4 linked regions of the Tamandua tetradactyla genome follow. The protein of the gene in region 4 interacts with the protein of the main gene of each other region in a pairwise test. Links are inferred from orthologs where the notes say so. Each region holds a gene or a part of one and is shown on either strand. Other genes may lie near its edges.

Region 1 (7,836 bases), on a different chromosome or scaffold from region 4:
GGGAACATGGGGCCTCAGGCCTGGCTCTTTCCCACCCATCCAAACTTGGGTATCTATAAATAGACACTGGGAGGAAGGAAGCAATATTCTTGAAAGAAATTTGTGTAAATAAATGGACCACACATTTTGTTTCTTCTTGCTTCCAGAACTTCAGTGTGTCCCCCACTGACTGTATATTGTCTTCAAGACATTTCTGAAATTTTGAAATATTTCATAATTCAATTGAAATAAGCCAGACACAAAAGGACAAATGGTGTACGATCCCACTTACTTTAAATAACTAGAATATGCAAATTCATAGAGGCAGAAGACAGAGTAAAGGGGACCAGGGGCAGGGGGCGGGAAATAGGGGGTTCTTGCTTCATAGGTGAAGAGTTTCTGTGGGGGTGACGGAAGAGATTTGGTAATGAATGGTAGTGATGGTAGCACATTGTAAAGGAATTTAACACCGCTGAACTGTACACTTGAAGGTGGTTAAAAAGGGAAATGTTATGCTGTATATATGGTGCCAAAATAAAAAGACTTTTAAAGTGGTATAATTGTATTACAGTAAGTGCTTTTTAAAGAGTTGAAGCAGTGAAGAGCACTGATTCATCTGCAATTTTTTTTTGGTTCCAAAACAATAAAATATGGCAAAACGTCAATATCTTACATTTGTTACAATATTATTACTAATTTCCCATGTGTTTAAGCATTTCATAATTTTTTAAAATTTGAAGTTACTGCAAGAGAGACAGAAGCAGAGAGGGAATAAGAACCTGCAAGCTACTTTCTCCTCCCCACCCCAGGGCCCACTAACACATCTTGAACAGAATGAAGTTTTCTAACTGTCCTGGGCCTCCTCACCCAGCAGAGGTGGAAGCACTGCACTGTATGTAGTTCTTAGTGGGAAAACTTATGCCTCAGCGTGGACACAGAGCCAGAACTTGGCTCCCTAATGTACCTGTTAGGGCTGCAGTAGCCAGCCCGGCCAGTTGGGGAAGTGGGCAGAGGAAGACAGGCATTCCACCCCCCCACCCCTACCCAGTCTACCTGCAGTCTGTTGCCGACCAAAGAAAGTGATTCACATAAATAACCAACCATCAAGCTTAGGAAATGCCATTACCCCTTTTCCACTATTTAAGATATGTTAATGTGCTGCTCCGCCTTCATGCTGACTCCCTGTATGGGCACATGCGCTCCTTCAGAAGTCCCTTTTTTCTGTAAGGGTCAAGAAAACTAACCAGATAAGACTGACTGCTGTATCTGCCTGCTTCTGAGCTGGGAAAAAAGTGCTGAATTGAGGCAAAACCCTGAAAATGGATTACAATTGCCAGTTCCACAGGTTACATTTCCCCCCAAAGCGTCTTAGGTTCACCTCTGGTCTTTTCCCTCCTCTGCCTAATAAACCACCTTGTCTCAAGGAAAATGCTACATTTGGACAGACAGGGCCTATACTGTGGCTGGACTGTTCAATTTGTTTTCTCACTTCCTACACTCTCTCCTCTTGGATGGGAAAGAGAAGCAGAGAAGGGGGTTGGGAGCCACCCTTAAAGACCTAGTTCTCCTCGGATCTAGAATGCAGCAGTTAAGAGCAGACCTTGAAACCAAACTGCCTCATTCGATGCCCAGAACTACCACCTACAAGCTGAAAGACCTAAGGCAAATGACTGGAACGACTCTACCTCAGTTTTCCTCCAGTGACTAGGAATGCTGATAATAATATCTACGCTTGGTTGGTGTAAGACTCAAATGAGATGAACTATTTACATAGTTCATTTACAGAGAAGGTGCAAAATATGTTAGCTATTGTCATGATTGCTATTTAACAGATACTGTGATTTTGAGCAAATGACTTCTCTGAGCCTTGGTGATTCCTCCCTACCTATTAGCACTGTTCTAGGGAAGGGGCTCAAAGCTTAATGAGTAAAGCGATTTTTCAAGTGCTTGAAAACTATAAGACACCATACTCTCCAAACCTCTGCACCATTTGTTATGGGTAAGTTGATTCCAGACTTGGCCAGTGCTTCAGAATCAGGAGCAGCTTATTTTTAATTTTTAAAAAATATATTTTTGAGAAATCTTCACATACATAGTCCATATATGGTGTACAATCAATGGCTTACGAGTTCATCACATAGTTGTGTATTCACCACCATGATCAGTTTTAGAACATCTGCATCACTCCAGAAAAAGAAATAAAAAGAAAAAACTCATACATACCAAACCCCTCCCTCTTATTGACCCCTTATCCCCCCTATTATTTATTTTGTATCCATATTTTTTTACTCATCTGTCCACACCCTGGATAAAAGGAGCAAGATTTTCACAATCACACATCACATTGTAAAACCTGTATCGTTATAAACTGTCTTCAAGAATCAAGGCTACCAGAACACAGTTCAACAGTTTCACGTATTTCCTCCAGCCACTTCATTCCACTATAAACTAAAAAGGGATATCTACACAATATGCAATAACCTCCAGGCTAACCTCTTGACTGTGTTCGAAAACTCTCAGTCACTTTAGTTTCATTTCTCTCTTCCTTTCTTTTGCTCAAGAAAGCCTTCTCAATCCCTTGATGCCGGGTCCTGGCAAAAGGAACTTATTTTTAAAAACTCAAAAAAAATAAATAAAATAAAACACATTGAAAAGTATTAAATTTAACATACTGATCTATTTACAAAAACAAAATGATATAAATGTAGACAGAAGGACCAATCTGTAAGAGAATATACCTTGGCATAATCTACGTTTGTGGTGAAGTCTTTTTTTTTTAATTCTTTTTAATTTTTTTTAAATACCAAAAAACACATAACAAATGCAAACATTCCTATTTTGATCATTTCGTTCTACATATATAATCACTAATTCACAAATTCATCACATAGTTGCATATTCATCATTATGATCACTTCTTGGAACTTTTGCATCTATTCAGAAAAAGAAATAAAACAAAAACAAAAAAATTTATACATATGTGGTGAGTTTTTACAGAATATTTTTATTGACAAATTTTCACACAGTCCAAACACAGTGTACAATGTAGGGCTCACCGTGTCATCACATACCTGTGCACACATTTGTGGTGAATTGTTCTTAAAGCAAAGGTCTTACAGGTCCATCTCTGGGCAGGGACTCTCCAGAACCAAAAACAGGTCCCTCTTCAGATCCCAGAGCTTAGGGGAGACACCTCTGAGCACACAGCCCACCAGGACCAGAAGTGAAGACAGGTCAGCAGCCTGCTCGATTCCCACAGCAACGGAGGTGGTCCAGGATGACTGGACGCGACCAGCCTGGACACGGTGGGAAGGCTCTGCCGCAGGGCCTGACCCCCCACCCCCGGAGGAGGAAGGCCCCGCCCCCACCCCCGGAGGCGGAAGGCCCCGCCTCCACCCCACCCCCACCCCCGGGGAGGAGGAAGGCCCCACCCCCACCCCGGGAGGAGGAAGGCCCCGCCCCCACCCCGGAGGAGGAGGAGGAAGGCCCCGCCCCCACCCCCACCCCCGGAGGAGGAAGGCCCCGCCCCCACCCCACCCCCACCCCCGGAGGAGGAAGGCCCCGCCCCCACCCCACCCCGGAGGAGGAAGGCCCCGCCCCCACCCCACCCCCACCCCCGGAGGAGGAAGGCCCCGCCCCCACCCCGGAGGAGGAGGAAGGCCCTCCTGGGCCTCGGGGGCACCTGTGCGACGCTCCGCTCTGAAAAGGCACACTAGTGAACACCTGGGACGGCTCCCTAGGGCCAGGCGGAAGTGGTGAACAGGCCAAGGACCCGGCCCTCCACCTCGGGAAGCCCTGAGACTACGGGGTCAGACTCAGGGTGGCCTCAGACCGCAGGGAGGGCCGACGCCCACACCCCGCGGGGAGCGCGGGGCCAAACCTCCCCGGGCGAGGCCTCGCAGTGCCGAACGCAGCGATGTTTCTGGACAGTTTAAACATCCACCTTTCCAGATAGAGACTTCTCTGGAAAATAAGGTGTGGGATTCTTAGGAATACCTGGTTTTTGGAAGACCTGTTTTCTGTAATTTTGCCTCAATTTACTACATTCTCTCCTTGCACGTCTGCGCCCCCCGACAGCTCCTACTTCTCCTCTTCCCTGGAAGCGGCCTCTTTTGACAAACCGCTTTCTTCATGAAGGGGCGCCCCATGCACTGACGACTCCGAGCACGGCTTGTGTTCGGACTCTGATACTCTCCTGTCTAACCTGCCACAAGCGCCTCGGTACCTTACGAGGAGGTAAACAAAACCCGGCAATGCTTACGAGCCCTGAAACAACAGACACCGAGGCCAAAGGCCGCCGTGCATCCGCTCAGGGACCCGGCGCTGGAGCCCCGCAAGGCCCTTCTGAGTCACGTCCTGAGGCTTTGGCGCCTCTCGGCCCGCGTGACGAGGAAGCGGCCAACGTGCGTCAACCTGACTACACGTTCCAAAAACCTCGGGCTAAAGGGTCTCTTTCCTCCATTTCCTTCTCATCCGAAAACGACCCACTACCTCCTCGCAAGCCCGCGGGAGCACTCGGTTGGCTTTTAGCCGAGATTCCGGGCCTTTGCTCACAAGGCTGAGGCGGGGTCACGGGGTCTCTTCCCGCCGCGCCCTTCCCCCCACGCTAGGCCCAGCTCCCCGCGCCCGCGCAACTCCCAGAAGGCGCCGCGACCAAGCAGCTCCCAAGAGGCCCCGCGGCTGAAGAGCAGGGGGGTTCGCGTCGCTGGCGGTGGGGGCTCTAGGCCAGGGCGGAGCCAAGGATCGTCGTCATGCCATTGGGCAAGAGCCCCGGGTCCTGCCGCTCGTTGCCGGCTTAGGCACCGCCTCAAGCCGTGCTGACCAATCCCGGGCCCGGCCTCCGCTGCGTCACAATAGCGCCCTCGCGGCCCCGCCTCCAGGTCCAACCATCTAGGCCCCGCCCCGGGATCCGCCCCGTCGTGGTCTTCGGCCTTCCGGCTCCTGGGAAGAAGTAGGACTGCGCCGCGTCTCACAGGAGAAGCAGGTGAGGCTCGAGAAGGGGCGCCGACCTGCCGTCACACGGGCACTCGGCAGCAGGGCAGGGGTGTGGCAGGGCGGGGCTGCTGCTCCCAGGGGCGTAAGTTGACGCTGCGCCGAGCAGGCCGAGCTGGACCGGGACGCCGAGCAGAGGAGGACTTTCCGGAAGCGCCGGCCGCGCTCGGCGGGCGGGAGTTGGGGACGCGCGCGCCGCCCGAAGGCCCCGCCCCTCAGAGGCCCCGCCCCGGGCGCGCTGCCAGGTGGGGGGGTTTCCATGGTGACGATAAACAAGCCTCAACTGCCTCGGCTACAACTGCCAAGTCCAGCACGTTCCAGCCTCCTCTCGGTGCGGACGTGAAGAGCGGGAGCGTGGAGACTCGGAGCCCGCGGTGAGGGGCGGCCGAGGGCCGCAAGCCCGGGGCCGAGCGGGGTCTGCGAGGAGTAGGGTGGGGCCTGCGGGGCTGGGGCCCAGTGGGAGGCGGAGCGTGAGGGCGAGGGCCGCCAGCTGGGGGCCGGCGGGGCCTGGGGACCGGGGGTGGGGCCTGCGGAGCCGGGCGGGGGAAGAGGCGGGCCTGCAGGCCGCGCTCAGGTCGGGCGGGGCGCGCACCCGGAAGGAAGCGCGCCGGCCTCAGCCCTTCTCAGCGTCGCGCCAGCCGGCTCCTTCGGTCGTGGGCTCGGGCTCCTGGCGTAGCTGAGTGCCTGGGCCTGGTGTGCAGAGAAGGGACCGCCGACCTCCCGCGCCCCAGGGCCCTCCCTCGCCCTGCTCCCTCGAGGTCTGCCTCCCCTGGCAGTTTAGCCCGAGCGTCCCCGTCGTGCGGTGTCCGCTGCTCCAGAGGTACCGTGTTTGAGGGACTGGGGACGGAAATCGTTTGTTCGTGTAATGCTGTGCCTCGTGACCCCATTGCTGCCGGGCGGTCTCCCGGGGCTCTGGTTACCTCTCCTTTCCGTTTCCTTGCTGGTGGTTCTGGGTCGGTTTTTACTCGTTCCTTCTCTAGAAAAGTTCCGGGCCCGGGGTCAGAACAGTGTGGGAGGGACCGCCGGGTTCATAGCGGCCCGGAGGTGGCGACCCGGGAGTTATAATCCTGGGACAGTGCCGCCCAGGGAGTGACGGCTGGGGTCAGAGCGGCTTGGGGGTTACAGTCGCGGAGAGTGCGACCTCGGATGGCGGCCGGGGCGGCCCCACGCAGTCGCCCCCTCCCTCCTGAGGGGTTCTGGCCTAGATTTCCGCCCTCGGAGGGTCCGGGTGGGAATTGACGGATTCTTCCTCCTTGAAGTCCGCGGCTTAAATTGGGGGCTCCGGAAGGGCCCGGGTCCCCGGCGCGCTGGGAGCCCGCGTGCGTCCGCGGTGGGGTGGGGGATGCGTGTCTCGTGGCCTCCCCGCGGGGGCGCCCAGGGCGGAGGGCTTCCTCGGAGCGTGCCTCGCGGCCGCCTGGCGCAGCAACGTGCTCGCCCGGCACCACGAGGGTGCAGGACGCGCTTCCGGCCGGGGTCGTCAGCCCGCCATGGCGGGAGGCAACCGCCGGGCGGCCACGTGTCCGGGCGGGCTGCGTACTGGAGGGTTGGGAGGCCGCGGGGCGTCGTAGCCAACTCGGTAAGACTACTTTTGGGACAGTTTTATAAAAGTAAACTGTATCTGAGTTCCTATTAGAAGTTTGCTTTCATTCTTAATTTCTGCATACCAAGATATTTTCATTTTAAAGTAAAATGAGTTTCTACTTTTTTTTTTTTTGGCCTTTAAGAAGGGGAATTTGTTAAGTTGCAAGTTTGCATGTTCTAAGGACATGAAAGCGTCCAAATTAAAGGAAGGCTATAGAAATATCCAATCTAAGGCATCCATGAATTTCTACTCTTAATATTGTGAGAGATTGTTGCATTACAGACGGGCGTGAAGGAAGTCTATCCTTCGCCTTTGAGGTCTTAATGGTCCCGTACGCATTTTGTAAACTGTTTAGCTTTATCATTTACATGTTATGCTTTCCTTTTTAGTTATGATTGGTTTGTTAATGACTTTATTTTTGGTTATTCTTTTAAACTGGTAAGCGGCTCTCCTTTTCACTTAATTATAGTGTTGCAAAGCTTTCTTTTAAAAATATGTAGGTAAAAATGCGAATTTTTATAAGGGTAGCAAATAATCATAGGATGTGGCAGCACCGTGGAGATCTGGGTTAGTGCCTGGAGGGGCTGTGGAAATGAGAGGGGTCGTTTAGTCATAAATATTTCAGTTTCTATTTTTAACGACTCGTAAAACAACCCATAATACCACTCCCACACCTTACTAATAACTACTTGATATCACATATGAGTGTTGAGATGTCCCTGATTGTACAATATAGCAAATAAACAACTAGTTGATAAGAGGTGGAATCCAGACAGGGCCACCTTGCCATTAAGATATGTTGTGAAACTTCTGTATTTTTGCTAATGTGATAAATCTATCTCGTTTTTAAAATTTTTCATTGATTTTTTATGAGGTTAAGTGTCTTTATGCAGTTCTCATAAACATGAAAAAATTTAGTTAAATCATTTTGTCTCCGTTAATCTGTTAAATGTGACAAATTGCAGCAATCGACTTAAGTATTTTTATTGAGAAATAAGCAGTTAATTTTTAGATAATCAGCTGCACTTGCATTCTTGGAATAAATCCTGGTTGATTATGATATATTATGGCTTTTTGTGTTGTAGGATTTGGTTTGCTAATGTTTAGGATTTTTGCATCTGGGTTCATGGTTGAAATTAGCCTTAAAATTGAATAAACAATTCTAACCAATTCCATTTGATTATAGATCTAAATGTAAAAACAAAACATTCGTTAAGAAAATGTTTGCATGGCTTCAGGCTAGGAAACGCTCTTAAATAGCATGTGAAAAGCATGCTGTTGAG
Region 2 (7,216 bases), on a different chromosome or scaffold from region 4:
AATTGTAAAGTAATCATGTTAAAACACTGAATGAAGCTGCATCTGAGCTATAGGGTTTTTTTTGTTTGTTTTTTACTATTATTACTACTTTTATTTCTTTTCTCTAATTAACATTTTATATCTTTTTCTGTTGTGTTTCTAGTTCCTCTAAACCGATGCAAATGTATTAAGAAACGATAAAAAAAAAAACAAAACTCTAGGAAACAGAAATAACAGAAGAGAGCGCTTTGTGACTCTAGAAAAGCTACTTAAATAAACTTTCTTCTAAAGGTTCAGGAAAATTAATTTCTCATAAAAGTGAGCAACAGAAAAGTACTGATGTTTATTCCACATAAAGCTACAAGAAAAAAGAGAAGAGAAAAACAATGAATGTTCACTAAAGAGGACTACTCAAAAAACAAAAAACAAAAAACCCCACAGAATGGTAGAATGCTCACCTCCATGCGGGAGACCAGAGTTCGATTCCCAGACCATGCACCCAAAAATTAAAAATTAAAAAAAAACAATGAAAGGACATCAAGAATACGATACAAAACTTTAAAGACTAGCATAAATCACAATTAGGAAAATTTAGAAATGAAATGACAGAATTTTTAAAAGAATTAGGAAGAAAAACTCCACTTTAGAAATAAAAACTGAATTAGAACATGCACAAGAGCAAATAAATATGACAAACAATGACTTAAGGGAAAAAAAGGAATTTTCTTAAAAAAAGAGGAATTTCTTAAAATTTTATCAAAAAGAAATGGAGATAAAAAAGACTGGTGAGAAAAAACAAAATTTAAAAAGAGAAAAAACTAAAAAAGCAAATAAAAAGATTGATAAAGAAGTCACAAATATTAAAAGACAAGTAAAGAACAATAAACAGAGATACCTAAACACATACTAAAAACTAATTAGAAAAAACTTTCCTGAGATAAAAAAGATCTGAAACTGCAGATTGTGCTCCCTCTGGCAGTACACACACTAAGGATTGGAATGACGAGAAGATTAGGAAGGCACCTGCGCACAGATGACATGCAAATTTGTGAAGCCGTTTCTATTTTTTAATAGGGTGGTATACAGGAACCTTGAATTTGGTGCATGACTCTTCTGTAAATCCTCAACTTCTCTGAACAAACAAAACCTTACATATTGAAAGGGCACTATGCTTCTAAGAATATGGATTCAGAATGATCCACAGCAAGATGTAGCCCAGAAAAACCACTGGAATTTAAAGAAAAAGTCCTTTGGGCACAAAGGTCAAAGGAGCATGTGATTTTAAAAAGATTAGATTATCATCAGTTGCCTAGACAGCAATGGGTGGCACAGCCAGATGCAGACTCACCACATAGGTCCAGGCCCACCTCCACCCCTTCCCAATTGAGTGACTCTGGGCAAATGACTCCCCCTGTCAAAAAAAAAAAAAAAGGAAAAGAAAAAGCTCTCTTCTTGCCAGTAACCTGGCCAGGACTGATTACAACCCTGACCTTCCCTGCATGCCCCTCATATCCTATAGCCATGGGACCCCAAGCACCAAGAGCTTTACCTGCAGTTCTCCTTGAATCGGCACTTCCCCTCCAGGAAAAACGGGCAGGGCTTCAGGGCCTTGTGCGTGGGGTAGAGATAGAGTACCCGGACAGCTGTGGAGCCGTCCTCTGTCTCCTCTGTGCCCACAATCATGGCGTTGTGATACTCCAAGGTGCCCCACGGACTGTAGTAGGGGGCGTTCACTTTTGTCCCACTTAACTCTTCCTCGTTGTCACTGTCCTTCCCCTCTTCCTCCTCTTGCCCAAGTCTTTTGGGTTCTGGCCCTGCCTCTCTTTTAGGAACAGTCTCCAATTCTGCCTCTGGGGCTGCTGGCACCTCTACTACCTCAGCAACAGCCTTCTGGAAAGCCATGTATTCAGCATCTTCCTGGGATGGGTGCACTTGATCCAGTGTGGCCAACAGCTTGCTCTTCCTGACAGACACCAGACTGGCCTCAGTTAGTTCAATCAGCTCTTTCAGGTCCCCTTGCAGCTGGCGCAAGTCTGCCTGCTCAGATGAATCCAGGTCAGCTCCCAGGGCCAGCTCCACCTGCTGCAGCTGGGCACGATAGGTCTGAAGAGCCGCCTCCAGGCTCTCCTCATCCATCCTATAGAAGGCTGGTTGGTTTTGGGTTTAGGGCAGGTGCGGGTCCCTGAGTCCTCGAGAGGAAGCTGCAGAAGCCAGAGTTGCAAGAAATCGAAGGCAGCTGAGCCTCAGGAGTCTGAGGCCCTCATTCTAAAGCAAACCCTGAAGGCTGCGGTGTACTGGACATGGGCTGTTAACCATGTTCTGTGCTGAAAGCTTTACACCGATGCCATAAAATACAACAGCCTGCCAAAAGGTGTACGGTGCGTCCTCCCTTTTCAAAGATGAGAACACAGGCTCAGAAAGCTTAAGGAACCCGCCCAAGGCATAGCTGGCCGGTGAAGACCTGGGGCCGGGCTCCGTAGCCGCTGTCCTCCCCAGTCCAGGTCTGCCTTTCCCTCTAAAGGCCTACCGACCTTTTGCTGTCACGCTTGATCCGGTTTCTCCGCGTGGTGTTTTGCATCTACTCTCAGCCCTGTGCTCAGGGCTCTCCCAAGCGGGGTGACCGGAGAATCTAAAAGCCTTTTCCCCTCGGGCCCGCCCCTGCCTACGCCCCCGACCCGACCCAGTCCTCCGACTCCCTCCGCCCAGTCCTCCTCAGAGTCGCCCCCCCATCCCTTGGGCTCTTTTCGGGCCCGACTCCATTCTCTGCCCAGACCCCTCAGGCTCCTACCACCCACCGCCGCTCGACCTCGGAACCGGGACCGGGACCGGACCCGGGCCCAGGCCCCGGCCGCTCCACCCGGGAAAAGCCCCCACCTTCTCTTCTAGGTCCGTTCTCCCCGCTGTTATCCAGCCGCCGCCATAAAGAGCCCCGCCGGCCTCACCGGCTACAGCCGGCAGCCCTGCTTCCGCCCCCGCAGCCGAACAGCACTTCCTCCCGAGCGCCGAGGCCGCCGGAAGTGCCCGGCGCGGGGGTTGCCGGGTGCGGCGCGCGGGGGCCGCCGGGGCTCTACGCGGCTCCGCCCTTCCTCTGGCGGCCGGGCCTCGTCCCAGCAGGCGCCGCGCGGGGTTAGGCTCGGGGTCAGCGCGCGTAGGTCCCGGCGGCAGCCGCAGCGGGTCCAAGGCCCGGGGCGGAGGCAGGTGGGCCAGGGACTGTATCGCCGCCGCCTGGAGCCCTCCTGAGGGGCCGCGGCCGCCCTCTGCCCCGAGCGGCGCGGCGCGGACGTGGGGGGTGAGGTCGCGGGAGGGGGCGCCCGCCCAAGGCGAGGGTGTCGCTCGTGGGAGCGTCTGTTAGGCTGTTTGCCCAAGAGTTTGGAAACTCGGTGTCCAAAGTGCGGGACTACCGGGAGACGGACTGTGGGCCTGGGGGGATCTCCTCCGCAGAAGTCTGCCCCCGGCCGGGCCCATCCCCTCTGCCCACCGCCACCTCTAGGTCCACCTCGGGTGGGCTGAGATCGCAGCCTCTCTTGTCGCTGCAAAGCCACCCCTGGAGCTTAGAGAATGGGGAGCCCCACCTCAAAGCCTTCGGTGGCTCCTGCTGCTTAGTGAATCCCTCCTTCTCACACATGCTCAATTTTAAGAACGATCTGGCTGTCCAGACTTGGATATCCAGTTTGGGCAAGTGTGTCCCTGTTCCCTGTGCACGAAGAGCTGAGCACAAGTGGAGCCTTAAGGGGAGGCGGGGCTCAGTGAGCAAGGGGAAGGGGGTGGGGTGAGGATGCAGGGGGGCCTGGAACCGAGTTCACAGTCACTGCTGTGAGTGGAATGGGAGTGGGAGGCAGGAGTGAAGAAGTAGGGGGTGGTCCAGGAAAAGCTGGTGGTGGTGGAGATGGAGAGAAGCCAGACAACTGGGAGAGATTATGGAGGCAGAGCCAGTGGGACTTAGAAATAAAGGGAGTTGGGGTGGGGAATCAGGAGCCACCCTTAAGATCCTGGTTGGAGCTGTCAGCAGGACAAATGGGTACCATTTACCAAGGTGGGGAAACCCGGGGGAGTAAGGAACGGAACGGGTCAAACCACCCCCATGTCTTACTGACTTATCTCTTGGGGTGTCCCAGGGGCAGAATGTATACGCTGCTTTCGGGCCTGTACAAGTACATGTTTCAGAAGGATGAGTACTGCATCCTGATCCTGGGCCTGGACAATGCTGGAAAGACGGTACACGCTTGTTTCTCTTTCCCGTCTCCCCCAGTGTTTCTTCCTTTGGGTTTCTACCTTCAGCTCTACATTCACCATCCAAATGGAATCCAAACCCTGTTAACGCTCACAGGAAGGTCACCCCTAATCTAAGAGTGGAGGTGCTGGCTTGTTTTTTTGAGGAAAGTTTCGAGAAGAGATAGTTGGGAAACGGGCTTGGCAAACTGCTCAGGTCCTTCATCTAACGCAGATCTGTCCTCCCTCCTCAGACCTTTCTGGAGCAGTCAAAAACGCGGTTTAACAAGAACTACAAAGGAATGAGTTTATCCAAGATCACAACCACTGTGGGCCTGAACAGTAAGCCCTTAGGGTATGGGTTTGAGTTGCTGGGGGCGCCAGGATGACCATAGCCGGGCTGGGCCCCCGTCAGGTAGCCCGTGGGGATTTGCTCTGTCAGCAGGGGAGCCAGGATGTGGGGCTTCCAGCGTCAAGATCACGAGCTTCATTCTTTCTCCTCTCCCAGTCGGCACTGTGGACGTGGGAAAAGCTCGTCTCATGTTCTGGGACCTGGGGGGACAGGAAGAACTGCAGTCTCTATGGGACAAGGTAAGGCTTTCTTCAGGGACTCAGGGGCACTCCTGACTGCCCCGCACGCCTTTTCTCTGAAGACAGTATCCATCGTTCCTTTCCTTCCCTCAGGAAGGCCCAGGACCCAGCCTTCTTTCTTTTTTCCCCCCAAAATTGAGGAAGGCCTGGGTTTCTTTCGGTTTAGAGATCTTGTGGCCAATCACCACAGGAAGCAGACAGCAGATGCCTAGGGCCCCATGAGGGTTGCAAAGCCTGTCGGGTGCTGAACTGCAGGGCCTGGGCTCTGGGTGTCCTCCAGTGGGCTCCAGCTCCCTCTCCTGTGTCCCCAGCCTAGGTCACCAGGGCCTGTTCCCCGGGGGTCTTCCCCATACAGGCACTGCCTCTTCCTTTGGCATGGGTTTTGGGCATTTCAAGTCCCACAGTGCAGGACTGAATCCACAAGGGGTGTAGAATCTTTCTTCAGATTTGCCTGGGGTCCAGCAGTGAGCAGGACAGATGCAGCCTCTTCCCTCAGTGGTCCCTTCCCCTCAGGTTGGTGGGGTTGGGGCAGATATGCCTAGTGCTCGTGTGGGGAGCTAAGGCCCAGGCACTGATTTCTGGTTTGACCCCCAGTGCCTGGCACACAGTCACCTTTGCCTGGGCTCCTTTAGAGGTGCCCCCTCCTGCCAGGAGAGCAGGGCAGCAGCTACCGCCTGGGCAGAGGGCACCGCTGCACTGTGGCCCCATGCATTGGACAGAGGCAGACGCCAGCCAAGGGCCTACCTTGTCTGAGCACCAGAGGCACATGGGGCTTATTTCCCCATACCACGCGGGTTCTCACTTAGGTGGAAGCAGGGTGTAGGGTGTGTATACTGGATGAACATCCCAGAAGGGCCAGGGAGATTGCTCAGCAGGAGCTTGGGGTTGAGAATTGCTCCTCATGGTTGACCCAGGTCAGGCCAGGCCGGCCAGGCCTTACATCACCACCTGGACCAGGCCCGGGAAGGGGGGACCTGAGCAAGGTTGCTCTTCGCAGCCTAAGCAGAGCCCAGAGGAGCCAACGACTAGGCTGTCCGCCACACATTTCCCACAGCTGGGCAGCAACGGGACAGCTCAGAAACTGCCAAAGGTCACTGTGCTCCATGCGGCTTTGCCCCTCCCCCACCTCCCGCTGGCCTCGCTTGCTCACCTGGTCTCATAGCTGGACCTGGGCAGCTGATGGGGTCCTGCTCCTGGTTACCAAGCCCCCCTCCTCTGCTTACAGTCTCAGAGAACCAAGTGGAACCCCCATATACCAACCACTCCCATGGGGCACAGCAGCCCTGCCTGCTGCCGCCAGTCAGGGTCAGTTACCATAGCCAGTAGCCTTGCTCCAAGGGCTGTGTAGCTACCTGAGGTGGTGACCCTCCAGCACCCTGGCACACTAGCCATCTTCCTTAAAGGCAGGAAGTTGTCTGCTTGGGCTGGCACAGCCCAGCTCTGGAGTCTCAGCGACCTGTATGGTGGTTTTCTTACAGGTTTGCCAAAAACTGCAAGCATCTGTTGCCACCACAGATGCCCTAGAATTATGGGGTCTGCCGGCTCCCAGGTCTTGCACAGCAAGGTGGCCTATGCATCCCCAGCAGGGCTTGCTTTGCTTCTGGTGGTCTTTTGTGGTTTCCTGTATGTTGGCTAGAGAAGTGACCTTGTGTAGGCCTTTCCTTGAGGCCACCAGATCCTGGGAGGCCCGTCAGGTGTTGAGTTTCTTTCTGGATTGGAAGGTAGAAGATGCCACCAGCTGCCATTTCCTTTGGCGTGTGGGCCTTGGCTTGTTAAACTCCTGCATCTTGTAGCATGGTGGTCAGCAGGCAGGGTGTGCGAGGTGTAGGGTTGGCGTGGGCGCTGAGGGGTCTGCAGGTGTCCCGATCTCTGGGCATTCATGGCTGGCCAGGGCCTGTCTGCCAGGGTTTGCCACTCCTGATGTTCTTTGGGTTGGAATAAAGCGGATGCCCCTGCCAGCAGCTGCACCACATGCTCTGTGCACATGCTGCACCTAGCTAGGGTCTGTTCCTCTTAATTCTCTTGTACAGAGTTGGGCTAGTGCAGTGAGTGGAGGTGTGAGGGCCACTGTCACTATATCTTTTAGGTCAGTGGTTCTCGAGAGGAGACAGTGGAGAGGTCAGGGATGCTGCTGGACTGGTCAGCTGTTCCCAGCAGTGTTGCCCCTCCCAGGTGTGGCTGGCGTTGAGGGCAAGGAATCTGCAGGTCCCCAGGGAGAGAGCCCAGCCTAGTGGGCTACTGGAGGCCCTGACTGCTCGCCACAGCCCATGCACTGCTGTGGATACTGCTCCAGCTGTCAGCGTGCCCCTCTCGGGGCGTGCGGGCCATTCAGCCACTGGCGAGAGGCGACAGTGGCCTGAGCACAGGACTGGCAAGTCCTGTGGAAAAGGTGTTGCCATCACCAGAACTGCTGTGTCTTCGGGACCTGGTCATCTCC
Region 3 (7,825 bases), on a different chromosome or scaffold from region 4:
ATTCCAAAGTGATACTTGGCCTAAGCACGAAAATCTTATACAGTGAATGCACCATAGTTTGAATCTTTAAAGACCATGGAAAACATGTCCAGAAAGAAACTCAGGAGAAAAAAATCAAGGGAAGTCTTCCTGCAGGTCGTCCTCCCTATGCTGAGCCCTCAGGTACGATGGGGTGCACTACATTGATTTCTGCAGGGCTCTGAAGGCGCGTATGAGGAGTACTTCATTTCCTCTCTGGTGGAGGGCCAAGGTGGAAAGAACAAGTAGAGAGCTGCACAACCCAGAGACCTGGGTTCAAATCAGATCTCGGCCGCCCACCGTGCGCCCAAAGAAGCGGCGCCCCCCCCCCCCTTCCAGCCTTGCAGGCTGCCTCGGCGAGAAGGGGGAAGTGCCCCGGCAACTTTAAAATACTAAGCAAACATAAGGCGCTGAGAGCATCTGGAGATGTAAACCGTAAAATACATCTACTTTATGTCACTTGGCAATAAAATAAAGGTTTGCAATGCTGACCCATTATCACTGCACAATTTAGAGCCGGAATATCAATTCCAGGGTCGAGATTCAGAACAACCCCTGAAAAGCATGGTTTTCAGAGACAAAGCCAAACATTTAGCTAAAGAAGAATAGATCTTTTCACATCGCCAATACTGAGATGAACTTCAGATGTTAAAATAAAGCTTCCTAACTATCGATTCTAATTCAGACTCAAGACACTGTGCTTTATTTAAAAGTTCACTAGTGAGCATGAAGTTACATAACAGAGTATAATTAATATTTTAAATTGCAGGGCTTTGCACTCTGGATGTCTGCCCATGATGTGAAGGGAAAACATTAGTCTGAAGTAATCTGAATTAACAGTCCTCCTAAGAACACAGGAGGAGCACCTCTTCCTTCCTTCACATCCCATTCAACGTGAGAACTGTCGTTCTCACAAGAATTACATTTCTGATGGAAAAGTAAAGGTAATCCAGCTTAGCAACAACAAAAACATTTCTCCAATACCTGTTTCAAGTAACTGCAAGCCACTGACACTGGAAGTAACAGAAACCAAAAGAATTTCCCATGTATTACCAACACAACGCTACACCAACATGATACACAAAAATAATTGACTTTTGAAATAACTTATTGTTTTCAGTTGGGTTATTTCCTTAACTGAGTACACCACAACTTTGATTGTTTCCTTATTAAGAAAAATGTACTCAATTGCCCAGTTCAGAGTATTTCTCATGCCACTGATCTCACACAATGTACAAAGAAATTTCTTTCATAGAGATAACAGCCCAGCAGGCAAAAAAGAGATATACGTAAATCATAAAGAACAATGAATACAAACCTAACTGGAGAACTGTTCAGAACAAACAGTACAGGAATAAAACCTAATTTTTTTTCTCTCATTTAAGAATACATGCCCATTAGTTTTTCACAAATCCATTTTATTAGAGAAACAAAAATAAGCCTGCAATTAGAATAAAATGGGGACGCTCTGTAAACCCATTCCTGTTCAGCAATTCAGACAGCATGCTCAAATTCTTGGAGACAGTAAGATCCTCTCTCCACCAGTCGACAGCACACACCCTCCTCTGAAGAACCGGTTGCATCAGGCAAATATTAGAAGTTGCTGTTTTCAAATGTAAAAATCTCTGTATCAAATAAGAGTTAACCACGTCCTCCTTCACTTCCAACGAGAGAAGAGCCAGGACTAGCACTGAGAACGGCAGATCCGATTTCTCTCGGGGACCACGCGCTGGCCACCCAGGGCGATTTCGGTCACCAGCTAGCCTCTGACCAGACACCGTTTCTGTCCTCCCCGAAAGACAACCAGCCGCCCCCCAATCCATCTTCGGCTGAAACGCGGGTTCCAAGCGCAGGCGGGGCGGGGCTGCTCCCGAGGGACTCATTTACCGGGCATCCCAGCAGGTTCCTCACAAAGCCCAGGGGCCCGGCCAGGCGACATTGAGGGCAGGCGGCCCCGACCCCGACTGCCCGGAGGTTCTCACGCTCAGCTGGACGGACAGGTGCTACGACGACACAGGCAGAGAGGACTCCTCTGCCAATATTCTGAACCCCAGACACTAATGAGAGTCACCCACCCAGCGCTTCCCGAAGAGGAGAAGCAAGTCAGTCGAGAAGGGGGCTCTTGTGCCCGCTTCTTCTACTGACTCCTCCAAGGGCCAGGCTGCAGGCTGGTGAGATGCCTACCCCCAGGGAGGGCAGACTGTAGTGCCTCCTGCACATGGGAGGAACAGAGGGCTCCTCCACTGGGACCACTAGATCCTTTTCTTCAAAGATGCTTTGGGTCTGACCCCAAACCTCCTCCAAGGTCCCCAAACTTCACCAACAATCCAAGCACCTGCTACTTCACCTCGTCTGTACTTGTTTCCCTCAAATCCTTCCATGTTCCTCCAGCTCTTTCTCCAGTCCCTTAAAACAAACCAAATGCCCTAGTTCCCCTTGTCCCCCGCACTCTCTTCTCCGATGAGATCATTCAACCTCCTCCCCGACAAAGCCCCAGATTCTTCCCCATCTGTTTCCCGTCCAGAAGTTTCCCTGGGGTATCCCCAAGTCCCCAAAGATTCCCTTCAAGTCTCACCCGACACCCCGCCCCCCAGTCTTCTCCTTTCTTCCTAAGCCCCCTAAATTCACATCCCCGTCTTCCAGCAGAAGTCCCATATTCTCGCGGGTCCCCACCCAAATGCCCCCAGATTCCTATCTGTCCCCTCCCCACAGCCTCCGCGATGTCTCTCCCCAGCGCCCAGCGCGTTCCAGCCAGTGGCACCCCGCAGCCCCCCACGCTTCCACCCGGCCCGCCGCTCCCGCCGGGGCCCCAACGGCCCGGTCGACAGTTAACCGCCGGGGCGCCCTCACCCTGGTTCACCAGCCGCAGAGCGTGTGTGAAGGAGGGGTCCAGGGAGTCCTTCTCCGCCATCAGCTCCGGCAGGTACTTCTCCTCCATGCTCGCCGGCCGCCGGGGCCCGGGACGCCGACTCGAGGCGGCCCGCGGCGGCCCCGCGCCCCCGGCGGCGCGGACCCGGGCGCGGCGCGACAAGCCGGGCGGACGACCCGGCGGCGGCGGCGGCACAGGTGCGGACGCCGACCGCGCGGCCCCGGTCCCCGGTGGCCGCTGACTGCCCCGCGCCCGCGCCCGCGGCCGCTGCCTCCCGGACGCTGCCCCGTGCTCCCGCCGCCGCCGCCGAGCCGAGCCGGCGCCTGGGGCCGGGCCGGGCGGCGCGGGCCGCGACCCTGCAGCAGTCCCCGCGCGCCCCGCCAGCCGCGCCGCGCACCGGCAGCCAGCGACCCGCACGCCCAGCGCCGCCCGCGCTCTCTGAGCGCTCGGGCCCCGCGCCCCGCTCGCGCCGCCTGCACGCCCCGCCCCGCGCTGCGCCCCGCCCGCCGCGCCTGCGCGCCGCGCCCTCCCGCCGCCGCCAGCACCGCCTCGCGGGGCCCGGGACTGCGCGGGGGGCCGGGCCCGCGCCGGGCGGGGTCTGGGGGCGCGCGGGCCTCGGGGAGAGGCCGCAGAGGTGCCGTGGTAGGGCGCAGGCCGGGAAACTGAGGCCCGGAGAGGCTCAGTGGCTCATCCAAGGTCACCCGGAGAGTGAGCCCGGAAAGCGGGGTGTGCACACAGCCCCCCGGGACAAGGGCCGAGCCTGGAGGGAGGAGAGGGGCCCCAGCTTGGCGCTGGCCCCAGGCGGCGGAGGAGGGTCACGGGGGGAGCCGCCCGCCCTTGGACGCGCCCTGGATTTCCTTCCTCGTCTGACTTCGCCTGGCCCGCCTCTGCATTTGCAAGAAAACGTCGCGGGGGGCGCAGCCCGCGCCCGGCGCTCGGGCTCCCAGCGCCCGCCTCCTGGACTCGTGGCTCCGAGGCCGATTACATAAAAGCGCGTGCCCTTCAGGGCGTCTTTGTCACACCCGACTTGCCACCCCATTGTCATTCTCTTCGCCGGTGGAACCGGCTGTGCCTGGGTGCGGATGAACGAGCTGCCCAGTCCCCTCGCGGGGAGACGCCCCCGGATACACAGGCTCCCCCACGCTGCGCTCAGATTTCCCAGCGTATGTGCAGCACACATCCCAGCGGCCTGAGGACTCCTGCCTCCCCCCCCCCCCAAACTCCAAGCTCAAGAGCCAGCCTCAATGTCACCTTCCCTGGACACCCTTCCCGGACTTCCCTGCAAAGCTGGCCACTCCCCAGCGAGACCAGTAATGATCTGTTTCCAAGGACGACCTCCCTCCCCCCCACCACGCCACCCCCACCCCCACCGCCATAGCAGGAACACTTGAGCATCTCCCAGTCTGGGTAGGGTTTGGGCTAGGGGGAGGGTCCGCAGCCGGTGACAGGGCGAGGGCCTGGGGAGCACCAGTTTGTTAAAGGAATAAGCTAGAGCCCTGCCGCCCCTTGTGGGCGTCCTCACAGCCCCCCCACCACACCCCCTGGATTCTTAAATGCAAATGGAGGCAGCTGTACAACCAGGGAGAAGAAACCAAAGGAGACTGCAGACTGCTGCTAAAGCCCCCACTCTCCGTGCCCAAGTCCCCTTATGCTCAAGCACGCCTTCTGACCTGACTACCAGGTACAGTAGAACCTTCTCACAAGGATTTTGCAAGAGGATTAGATGGCCCAGTGTGTGGCCTCTGGGCCAGGCGACCTGGATTTGGAATCATGGCTCTGCTGCCCAGGAGCTGTGCACCTTGACATGTGAACTCAATGGCTCCATGCCTCCTTTTCTTCTGCCTCCTGCACGGTGCTTCCCTTCAGCTGTGGCCCCAGGGGCCTTTAGCCAGCACCACCCCTCAGGGTCCCCACCCAGGACCCAGTGCATGACCCCAGTGACCCCCGGCCCAGAGCGGGGTTGGCAGGGCAGGGTCGTCCCCTGTGCCAGCTCCTCTGGTGATTCATCGTGACACCCCACTGATTCACCCCACAGAGCCGCAGACCTACATCTCCAAAACCCCGTTGTGTCTGCTGTCCCAGAGGCAGTTTAAAGGCTTCATGGGGAGACGTTTCCTCCTTTAACCCTGAATGGAAGCGCCTGGCTTGTGGTCCTGCATACAGGACTGCAGTCTGGACCCACGGCAGCTGCTTGAAAGGGAGGAAGGGAGGAAGAGCCTCGGGGACACGCAGAGGGGAGAATGGGGACCAGTGGCACAGCTGCTCCCATCCGGCCCTGGGCCCTGCACCACCCCCCCATGGCTCTCTTTCCTCTACATCTTCCATGTGGGCCTTCTGCGCCAGCCACTCGGCCAACCTTCAGTAAGGACAGGTTTTTAGAAAGCATTACTAAGTGCCGGGCACCGTGCTGGGTGCTTTGCAGTCACTGTTTCCAGTCCTCTCGATACCTGCAGGGAAGATACTTTTTATCACCATGTACACGTCAGGGCAGTCAACACTCTGCCTAAGGCCCCTGAGCACACCCCTGGGTCCTCCAGGGAGGAAGGAGACACACGGCTCCGTGAGATGCTCAGGAAACTGTCCCCAGTGGGGTCGGGGGCAGAGCGCCTCTGCAGGGCCCTGACATGGATCCTTTTGGAGAAACTCAATCCGGGCCTCGTTTCTGGCCAGCGGCTGCAGGCAGCACCCACTCAGGGCTCCTGACACCCAGGCAGTCTTGGAGGGGGGCGTGGTGGGGTGTGTGATGGTACTCATTGGAGTGCTGGCTGCACGGCACCTCCTACGGGCACTGCCTCCCTGGGCATCGGGGATACAACGTGGACAGTTCTCCTGAGTCCCTTGAGGCCTCCAGGGACCACTTACTCTGCGTTGAAATAAGAAACTGCCCCCTCCCCTCGGATTCGCTCCATGCCCCCAAGACAGGGGGGCCTCCCCTACCCACCTCACCCGGGACCCCAGGGCCCTCCCAGGATCGTGCTGCCCCCACAGCAAGTCCTTCCTGTCCCAGCCACCCGCCGGGACACCACCCCCAGCCCCCCAGCCCAGGAGAGAAGGACAAACACTCCCTGGACCTGATCACACTCAGGGCAGGAGGTCAGGCGCTGCCCAACTGCCTGAGGACACAGAATGAAGGTGGCAGTGTGTGTGAGGGAGACAGCTGTCACGTTTGCCCGGGATCGCTGCCCTGGCTGGGAGCCTCCTGTGCCTTCTATTGGAGAAAGGGGAGCCCCAGCCTGGTCTCCCCCAATGCTTGCAGTACTGCGGGCGCAGGGCCAACGTCCAACTGTACTGGTGTGCTCTGCGCCCAGACAGACCCCGGTTTGGGCCCCGGCTCCCCTCCTTAGGGGCGGTGTGATGGAGAGTCAGCTGCTCTCGGGGTCCCAAAAAACAGGGAGGGGAGAAGTCGGGTCTCTCAGGACTGCGGGGGGAGCGGGCTGCAGCCTGAGAGTGCTCCTCACTGGCCTCGGCGGCTCTGCCCATGCCCTGCCCACAGGTCACTCAGCACACAGGCGACCACGGCCCCTAGCCCCTGCCCGCCCCAGCCCCGGGCCCCTGGTTCTCAAGCCATGCCCCCTAATCGCAGCCCCAGTGCAGGCTGCTCGGGCCCTGGGGCACAGAACTTTGCCACGTGAGACAAGCCCCCAAAGGTGGCCCGACCTTGCCTAGAAAGCCCGTAGTGTGGATGTCTGGATAGGGAGGAGGGAGGCCCCACGAGTGTTCCCGACCCCGGCGCCTCCCGGGTTCAGCAGGAAATGCTGCCCTCCACGCTGAAAACTTGGCCAGCCACTGCGGGGGCACCGGGGAGCTCTTCCAAGTCGGGGTCGCCACCGAGCCTCAAGTCAGGCACGCCTCTGCCGCAGGCTGCGGTCCTAACGCGCCCCCCGCGGTTCATTCACGCAACCTGCAAGAGACCCCACGGGCAGCTGCGGGGGCCCGGCCAACCCGCGGGGGGCCCTGGCTTTTAGAGACGAGGGGACAGTGGCGCAGAGAGTGACCCATGGGTGGTGAGGGAGACTTGGATACAGCACGTACACGCCCGCACACTCGCACGTGTACGCGTGCACACACTCACACGCACGCTATCCCGTACGCGGGATGAGGCCTTCCGCCTCCTTAGCCCCCTGCCCTGCGCGTCCGCGGCCGAGTCTTCCTGGCCGAGCACCGCCCCCCCGACTCCCACCCCGGCCCACCTCCCCGACTCCGCTTGCCGGGAAGCCGCCGGGGTCCGGCGTCCCCAGGCTGCAGAACCCCAGATACTGCGCACGCCCCCCCTAGTGGCCAAATTTGAAAGCGCACCCCCAAAAGTGCTACGTTCTGCGCGGATCCCAAAAGGGAACCAAAGAGGACGTCACGCCGCCCCAGGAGGGAGCGCAGTGAAGTCTCCTCTCAGGGCAAGGCACAGGAAAGGGAGAAGAAGAGGACGGAGAGAAAAAGAAGGAAAAACATGCCCCATAGTGGGAGCCACTGCAAGAGAATGAAAGGAGCCCCTTGGTGGTGGGGGGGGGGGGGATGCTTCTCCCCTGACCCCCACGCGAGCAGCCCTGGAAGTGATAGACCTGGCCGGCCCACAAGGGCTGGGGGTGGGGGGGGGCGGGCATAAGACCCGCGGACCCGGCTATCTCTTCCAAATCCAAATCTCTCTCTGTACATATTTCTGAGCCTGTGAGAAGTGGTCAGGAGCAGTTGTTCTCTTCCTATTTTGTTGAGATCCGATGCGAACAATAAAGACCTGCAGAGGAAGCCTGGGAAATGCTCTGAGCTCTCAGTTCCAAGCACCACAGAAGTTACTTTCCTCAGCTCAGCAGCCCCTATCCTTTGCTTCCTGGTTAAAAGGTTACATGTGATGCTGAACTGCCGAAGTACTCTCTGTACTTTCGCAGGGCATCCGGTCATCGCCACTTCTAGTGCTTTGCAGGATGCTGTGATTTGAAAGGCACT
Region 4 (7,736 bases):
CTCTCTCAGTCCCTCCCTTGCCTCTTCCATCCTTGGTTTGTCTTTTTTCTGCAGCGTCTCCCCCTCCAAACTGCCCCTGACTGTAGCAAGCTCTGTCAGTCTAAAATACCATTCTCCCCTGTGACGCCTCGGCTCAAGAACTTGCCTTGCCTCCCTCCTGTTGCAGTTCACCACAGCTCTGTCAGAATGAGAGCTGGAAAAGGGCAGGAATGCCCCCACAACCTAACTTCCTGTCGTTCCTCAAGACCTCCATCCTCAGCTCCAGGTCACCTCACATTTCAAGTCCATTACCACCTCTAAGCCTTTGCTTTGGCAGGTTGCCTTGCCTATAATTCCTAAAGCCCATCTACTTTTGAGGTCCTAGCAACTGGCATCCTGTCACCTCACCTCAAAGCACTGTCACTTCATGTCCCTCCTGCACACTGCACTTTACAGTTTACAAAACGTATACACATCCATGGCATCACTGAACACATTAATGGAGATTAATGAATGTGCCCATCCCAGATGCCACATCTGTCTTCCACCCAGAGAACCCTGTGGGCCAGGAAGGAGAAGAGGCCTTCGTCCACACACAGGGCCTCCTGGGCTGGCCATCTCTAGCAGACCCAGTGGCAGGGGCTCAACAGCTCAAGAGCTGTGGATTCATGGGCCAAAGGACCATCATGATGAGAGCTGCTGACAGGAGACGAAGGCAATCACAGTTAGAGCAGTCAGGGAAGGCTTCTGGCAAGAGGAAGGGTTGGGAGACTCAGCATGAGTGGAGCCAGAAGGACAAGCCAGAAAGTAGAACAGGGTGAGCCAGGGTAGCACCTAAGAAAGGCAGGGAGGGTGGCTTCTGAGGTCCGGAGCATGTTCAGTTAAGCCTTGGCAGCAGTGGGGAGTCAGGGAAAGTGGGTGACCTGGGGAGGTGGGAGCCAGAGGAATGTTTATGGGGTTGACTATGGGGTGTGGAGGTGGGCCTGCTGTGGGTAGGGTCTCCTGGCTCTCCCCCTGCACTGGTTGGCTGACTCTCTCCACTCAGCATCTGAGGGTGACACAGCTGACCCATCTTCACCCTTGCTAGGCCTCACCTGGCAGAAGGCCAGGTCTCCTCTCCCCTCCTGCTGATTAATAGGCACCAGCTGATGTGAGGGGGCCAAGGAGAGGGGCAGTGGACTGCCTCAGGTTCCAGGTGGAGCCGAGGGAGCCCCTGGGAGGCTGATCCTTTCATCGGGAAAGCTCAGCTTGTCAGACCCTGCATTCCAGGGCAGCCTCTGGTGGAGGGGGGAAAGGTCCGTGGAAATCATGGAGGACCATGTCTTGTTACATGGAGGAAGGAACGTGGCCCAGAGAGGAGCCGAAGGGAAGGCTGGAGAGCTTGAGCTTCTGATTGGCCCTGTGGCCTTTTGTGGATTAGCTACTTCATTCAGTTTTCAGGATGATGGTATGGAAGCCCCAGCCTACTCAAGATGGCCCCTTGACAGCCTCCCTTGGAGGGTTGGTGGACATCTCCACATTAACAAGCCAAAGCCCAACTCCATAACTCCTTTACTGTCTCTTCAAGCTTCTCTTCCCACAGTCTGTCCCAACTCAAGGGCAACTCCATTCTTCAAGTTGTTTAAGCCCCGACCCTCAGTGTCCTTCACCTATCCGTCTCTCCCCCTCTCTGCCCGCACACCCGGCCAGCAGCATATCTTGTCGGCTCTACCTTCAAACTGAATCTAGAGTCTGACCGCTTGTCACCATCGCCACTTCAACCGCCCCGTACAAGACACTCGCCTCTGGATTGTGTTCCCTGTCTCCTTTCTTGCCGTGCCTCCACCCACCACCCCACTCCAACCCCTCAGCAGCCAGGGTGGTCCTCCTGTGCTCAGAGTCCTGCAGTGGCCCCCCTTTCACTTGGAGCCTTTGTTCGGCCCTCTGGAACTGACCTCCTCTTGGTCCTCCCGGGCTCACTGTGCTCCAGGCCCCCTGACCTCCTGGCCATTTCTCAGAACACAGCAAACTCTCTCCCGCCTCTGAGCTTTTGCCCTTCTGTTCCCTCTGCCCCAGTAAGCTTTTCCCCCAAATGTCCATCTTGGAAGCTTGCTCCTTCACTTCCTGAAGGTTTCTGCTCTCTATCAGGACCTCCTGGTGGAGGCAGTGGCCCTCGCCTAATGGCAAGCAGCAGGGGTTGGGGGGGCTTCCCTTCCTCTGACTGAGCAGGGTGCCCCTCCCCCTCCCTCCAGACCCCAACAGGACTGTCACCATTTGCAGAGGTGTTAATGAGAGCTGCCCCTCCCCCTCTCCTCTATTTTCCTACCAGGCAAGGGTGGGGGTGGGAGAGGCCAGTGCTTATAGGGAGCTCCAGTTGGTGGAGGGGAGATGGAGGGGCTGTGGGACAGCCCGGGCACTGCTCCCTCCCTTCCCTCGAGGGTCAGACTGCTTCCTTTCCAAGGTCCGTACTCACTATGCCCCCCCCCCCCCCCCCCCCCCCCCCCCCCCCCCCCGCCACAGCCAACTCCACCCCCCCAGCAGGTGTGGGCCCCTGACTAGCTTGGGAGGGGACAGGGAGGTGGATTTTAGCCTTGCTGTGCCTCCACCCCCCTGTCCTCTTCTCTCTGAGCCTCATTTTTCCGCCTGGCCAAGGGGAATATCTGGAATGGTTTCTGATTCAGTCTTCTGGGTCCCTGGCTGATCAGAGGTTCCTGCAGTAAAGCCCGGAGAGGTGACTGATGCGCCACCCACCCCCAGATTCCCAGGAGCCGCCTGGGACGGCAGTCCCAACTCCTTGTTGTAGAGAGCACAGGGCCTGTCATTCGCCCCCTAAACTCACTGAAGTGAGGGCCCAAGAACATGTATTTTGACCTTTGGGAAAGGTTATATCTCAAAATGCCAAGCTCAGACCAGGAATTGGGTCCTTTCCTCTTACCGCCTCTGTGCCTCCCCCTGGGACAGTCTTCTGGGAAATAAAGCTTGCAGAGGGTTTGGAGAGAATATTCATGCTTCACTTCTGGGCATGAGGCCAGCTGCCAGGCTGGCGCCTCCCGGTGAGGCCAGCAGGCAGGTGCCCACTGGGCAGGCTGGGCCCGAGGCCAGGGAGGTTGGGGCCAAGTGTGAGGCCCAGACTAGGGGCAGGGCTGTGGGCCGGAACTTTTCTGCCCGTCCCTCTTTCCTTCCCACATCTGAAAGGGAATCTGCAGGTTTCCCTCAGAGAGAGACATGCTTGCATCAGGACCAATGGTTCCTCCCCCACCCCCCACCCCCTGCAGGGCTGCACTGGGGGAATGTGTCAGAGGGTGGGGGGTGCACATTCTGGGGAGTGAACTGTGGGTGATGGTGAAGAACCCCCATGTCTCAGGTACCACAGATCCATCGGTGGGGGTATAATGAGCTCTGGGAGAGAACTCACCTCTGCTGCTGCATGCCTCCTCTGGGCAAGAGCAGAGCTGGATGCTACATCTGCTTTTCAGACTTATTCTCAGTTAACCCACCAGCGCCACTAGGGTGGAGAAAGTAGTAGTCCACCTCTCTAGGCCGGTTTACCTGCCTAGAGCCACACAGCCAGTGGATGGCAGAGCCAGAAATGAGTCCTGAAGACTGCTGGGGTCCAAAGCACAGCACTCTCCACCACTCCACCAGGACCTGGCCCGTGGGCTGGCTGAGAAGGTGCTATTTCCAACACCTTAACCCTCGAGGCTGGCTGCCTTGCCCTCAGTAAACCAGATTAGCCAGCAGATGTCTGGGGGTAACTGGGACTGTCTATTATTGAAGGCATTTTTGGATTGGGAGCACTGGGGGAGCTGGGGGAGGACAGGACCAGCAACGGAGGAGTTAATGGCCCATTAGACTCAACTCCCATGGTCAGGGCCTAAAATTGGCTCTGGTGGGGATGGAAGAAGACAAACTCCTCCATCCCCCAGATCCTTTTTCCCTCACGACCCTTCTCCTCCCAGCAATCTGGAAGACCAAGAGAGGCAAAGAAGCTCAGTTCCACCCTCCAGAAGAGCCCTGTGTCTGAAAGCCACCCCGCTGGAGAAGCTCCACTGCAGGCCAGAGAAAGGGCCAAGTTTGATGAAAAGAGCCCTCAAAATGGGGTCTTTTTCTGTTTTGTTGATAATGGCCATTCTGGTGGGTGTGAGATGAAAAAAAAAAAAAGGGGTCTAAAGCAGATGGCAGAATAATGAGCCTGGGGTCTCCTGGGAGATTTTGGAGAGTGATGATGAGCCATCTCAGTGGGCTCTCTGGGCCCATGTGCCCTCAGCAACAAGAGGGTACAAGCCCCTCTCCAGGTTGTGTGTGGGTGCAATAACTCAGGCCAAACTGCACTTTTCTCTGGGTCACGGGAACCTCGGCCTGGGGCAGAAACAACCAGGTAGGGGTAGTTAGTTGACATCACCTGTGAGCACACCCTATTTCAGATCCCATGCAGCCCAGGAGGACAGGATACCTAAACTGCAAGAGCCACAGAGACCACCTCACCCCACTCCACCTTTCATAGCTGCAAAACCAGCGGTTCAGAGAAGGGAGGTCTTGTCATGATATAGGAGGAAACAAAAACAAGGGACTTTGAAGGAGAGGTGAGTTCACGCAGGGGTGTGTCCCATGCCCCCAGGCCTCACCTTTTTCTTTTTCCGTCCCATCCTCTTGGGGCCAGGAGTGTTTGGCCTTGTTTAACAATCTTGGGTACTGGTACCTGGGACTGATGGGTGACCAGGCATTAGTCGTGTCCAGACAGCTGGCCCAGGCACCACGGGGGCCTATGGGGGTGACGGACAGTACAGAGCATCAGTGGTGCGCCAGTGGTGCCATACACTGGCTTTGGGGGTGGGGGGTAAGGACAGGTGGGGTAGGGTGGGGCCTAGGTCTTTCTCAGCAGCAAGAGGGCTAATAGGTACAGATGCCGAGGGGGGTCTGGGCCATAGCTGGCTGGGCGGGGATTGGAAGCCAGGCAATTGACTCCTGGTGCTCCCAAGGTGAAGGCAGGAGTGGCTCTCTCTCTGCCCGGAACCCAGAAAAGTAGTGAGCTTTTCCACTGCACGGGGTCACCTGGGCAACACTGTGTGATGTCACAGGCAGGACGAAGCCACACCCATCCCTGTCCAGTGGAGGGGGCTGGGATCAGAGGCCCATTTCCTGACTCTCAGAGCTGCATCCTTGCTACTGTCTGGCACCTGGTCCTCAGACTTCCTGCTCTTGGAATGGCCAGGCAACCAAGATTCCCCAACCACCCTATGTGCCAAGCCCCGCGCATGTCACACTACAGGAAAGGAGGGGACTGAGGCACTGCCATCAGTTTGGCAGGAAAACAGCTATATCTATAAAAGAATCTGCAGCCATCCTGACCTCTTGGGTGCTTCGTTTAAAACAATAATAAACACAAAAGTTAAGAGAACAGTTTCCTCTTGAGGTGGGAGGATGGGGGAGAGAATGGGAAGAGAACCCATAAACATACGTTATCTATGATGTTCTGTTACTTAGATTGGTGGGTCACCTATTGGGTGTTGATTACGTTATTGAAAATAAATTATTAAAGAATTAAAGAAGGCCGAATATGGGTCAACAATGGCACTGGATTGCAAATCAAAGGTTATGGTTATAGGGTGCATGGATGGGTCACTGGTAGAATGATTGACTGCCATGACCCAGGCTTGATTCCTGGCCCATGCACCCCTGCCCACCACCCCGAAAAAAGAAAAGATTATGGTTGATCCAATTCTGAGCTCCATAAAAAATTGTTACAAGGATAACTTCTTTTTCTGTGTGAGGCGCAGCGCTAAGTGCTTTTAAGTGCAGCAAGATGTCAGAATAGGGAGTGAGTAGCCCCTGACCTGGCGTGGTGGCTGCTCATGGGAAGGTGGGGTTTGGACTTGGCCTTGATGGATGATCAGGAATCCTGGGCTAGAGTTTGGAAGTATTTGGGAGACCCCTGTTGTCTACTTGCCTCATTCTGCCAGCTGTTTTAGATCCCATATTGAGGGCACTTTCCATTTTCCTTGGTTTGTGACCCACGGACAGGCCCACCACGGTGGCAGGAGGCAGGAGACGAGCTTTGATGAGGCTTCCCAGCTTCTCCCTTCACCTCTACTCCAGAGAAGGAGGCAGAGAAGATGTGGTTCTTCCCAATTTAGAGACAGAAAAAAATTGAGGCCCCATGTTTGATTAGAACTGAAAAGACTGGCTGTGGTCACACAGACAGGTGGGGATGGGAGCCAGGAGTCTCGCTTCCAGTTTTCTGCCCCTCCTGGCCTGCCAAGGGTGGTGCCCCTCGGGCTCTGGGGCCACGAACCTCCCTCGGCAATGGATGGGCTGGTCCCGCTCTCTCCTGGACCAGCACTGTCACAACATGGAGCTTGTGCCGAGCAGGATGCAGCTGCCGGTTCCAGCTCCCTGCAGTGCCTCTGCCCTCCCTCCCTGGCCTGCTTCATCCAGGAGGCAGCAAGTTCAATGGGTGGGCAGCCAGCACTGACCCTGTCCCTGTTCAGGAGTCCACAGCAGGATGGGAGAGGCTAGCAAGGTGCCTAAGGAGTAAGCTTTAAGGAAGCACTCACTTGCAGGGCTGTATGAATGCTCCCAGGCAGGGCACGCCCCTTTGAAGTTCATGCTCTGCCCACCTGGCTCCCCCCACTGTAGTCCCAGCCCTGCCCCGCATCTCCTCCCCTCCAGCCCTCATCCAGCCACCCTTCCTAGGGCTGCCCCTGGGCACAAGCCTTTCACTCAGCTTCCTTGAGCTTTCTGCAGGTACAGCCCCCAGCCCTGTGGCCTTCCTGCCTGGGAAGAAGATAATGAATGCAGTTGGGTGCTGGTTCTATGCCAGCTGGCTCCAGAGCACCAGAGGGCCCTTGCACGTTCAACAGTCACCAGAAGGGGGCCCCTTCCACCATCTCCTGGGGCAAAGGACCCCAGGGACACCAGCTCCTGGGCCCACCCCAACCTTCCACCCAGAACTACTTCCTTTCCTCCCACCATCAGTGAGAGGTCCTTCAACCTGGGGGCTGGGGGTGGGCTTTCTACTTAGCGACAAGACTGATAGAAGCTACTTCACATTTCTATCTGCCCTTCCTCCCCCCACCCCCACCCCAGGGAAATGAGCCTCCTCTGCTCCCCAGATGTCCAGAGGAAACTTCTGCCCCTGCCCAGTGGGCAGCCCCAAGCTTTAATGACTCAGAGTGAGTCCAGTGTGAGGAGGGGAAGCAGGTAATGATTAATCTCACAGCTAATAGGTTACCCTACTCCCCCGAGGCTGAGACCACATGCCGCAGTGCAGAAAGAAGAGAAAGTGCTGGAAGCAGCGTTATTGGAGGGTCCGGGGGTTAAACACAGCCATTAGGAAGCCCACAGCTCTGGGAGGGGCAAGCCGCTGGCTGGAGCCCTGTTTGGGGGGAAGGCGAGGTCCCCCGAGCCAGGCTTCCTTGGCTGGCCTGGCACTGGGCTTGCCAGGCAGCAAGAAGGGTCAGGGCAGGTGGCTCATGGCTGTCCACGCAGCCTCTTGCCCAGCTTCTGGGGAGGCAGCCTTTGGGGCCTAGGTTGGCACTAACTACCCATGCAACAGGTTCCAGACAAGGCCCCCCCTTCCCTTTTGGCATCACTCCATTTCTTTTGAGCAGCTGAACTGGGGCTTCTGGGAAAAGGACGGGACGGATGACCCGTGAAACTTGGGCAAATGTGATTTTGTACTAAATGGCAGCTCACAGCTGTGTGATCTTGGGCAGGATACTAACCCCCTCTGAACTTTAGTTCCCTACCCCCAGGGTTGCCAAGAGGACTGAATTAGG

What was found.
Region 1: the proteins of CCDC33 (region 4) and HNRNPF interact in a two-hybrid assay, tested with the Homo sapiens proteins (3 studies listed by BioGRID). The two-hybrid records come from large-scale screens. The link is inferred for Tamandua tetradactyla from reciprocal best matches to the Homo sapiens genes CCDC33 and HNRNPF.
Region 2: the proteins of CCDC33 (region 4) and ZGPAT interact in a two-hybrid assay, tested with the Homo sapiens proteins (2 studies listed by BioGRID). The two-hybrid records come from large-scale screens. The link is inferred for Tamandua tetradactyla from reciprocal best matches to the Homo sapiens genes CCDC33 and ZGPAT.
Region 3: the proteins of CCDC33 (region 4) and KHDRBS3 interact in a two-hybrid assay, tested with the Homo sapiens proteins (2 studies listed by BioGRID and IntAct). The link is inferred for Tamandua tetradactyla from reciprocal best matches to the Homo sapiens genes CCDC33 and KHDRBS3.

Annotation. Positions count from the first base shown.
Region 1 is NC_135339.1:2,957,329-2,965,164, reverse strand, and holds the start of HNRNPF (heterogeneous nuclear ribonucleoprotein F), read left to right. Parts: upstream 1-4,830; 5' UTR 4,831-4,963; intron 4,964-5,212; exon of another isoform or gene 5,213-5,345; intron 5,346-5,575; exon of another isoform or gene 5,576-5,791; intron 5,792-7,836.
Region 2 is NC_135327.1:61,162,927-61,170,142, reverse strand, and holds the start of ZGPAT (zinc finger CCCH-type with G patch domain-containing protein), read right to left. Parts: upstream 3,014-7,216; 5' UTR 2,854-3,013; intron 2,181-2,853; 5' UTR 2,116-2,180; coding exon 1,529-2,115; intron 1,048-1,528; exon of another isoform or gene 943-1,047; intron 1-942. Other genes in the region: ARFRP1 (ADP-ribosylation factor-related protein 1), read left to right, coding at 4,102-4,194, 4,443-4,530, 4,697-4,779. UniProt on the Homo sapiens protein: Transcription repressor that specifically binds the 5'-GGAG[GA]A[GA]A-3' consensus sequence. Represses transcription by recruiting the chromatin multiprotein complex NuRD to target promoters.
Region 3 is NC_135332.1:179,346,053-179,353,877, reverse strand, and holds the start of KHDRBS3 (KH domain-containing, RNA-binding, signal transduction-associated protein 3), read right to left. Parts: upstream 3,007-7,825; 5' UTR 2,957-3,006; coding exon 2,869-2,956; intron 1-2,868. UniProt on the Homo sapiens protein: RNA-binding protein that plays a role in the regulation of alternative splicing and influences mRNA splice site selection and exon inclusion. Binds preferentially to the 5'-[AU]UAAA-3' motif in vitro.
Region 4 is NC_135338.1:67,862,167-67,869,902, forward strand, and holds the start of CCDC33 (coiled-coil domain-containing protein 33), read right to left. Parts: upstream 3,009-7,736; 5' UTR 2,966-3,008; coding exon 2,894-2,965; intron 1-2,893.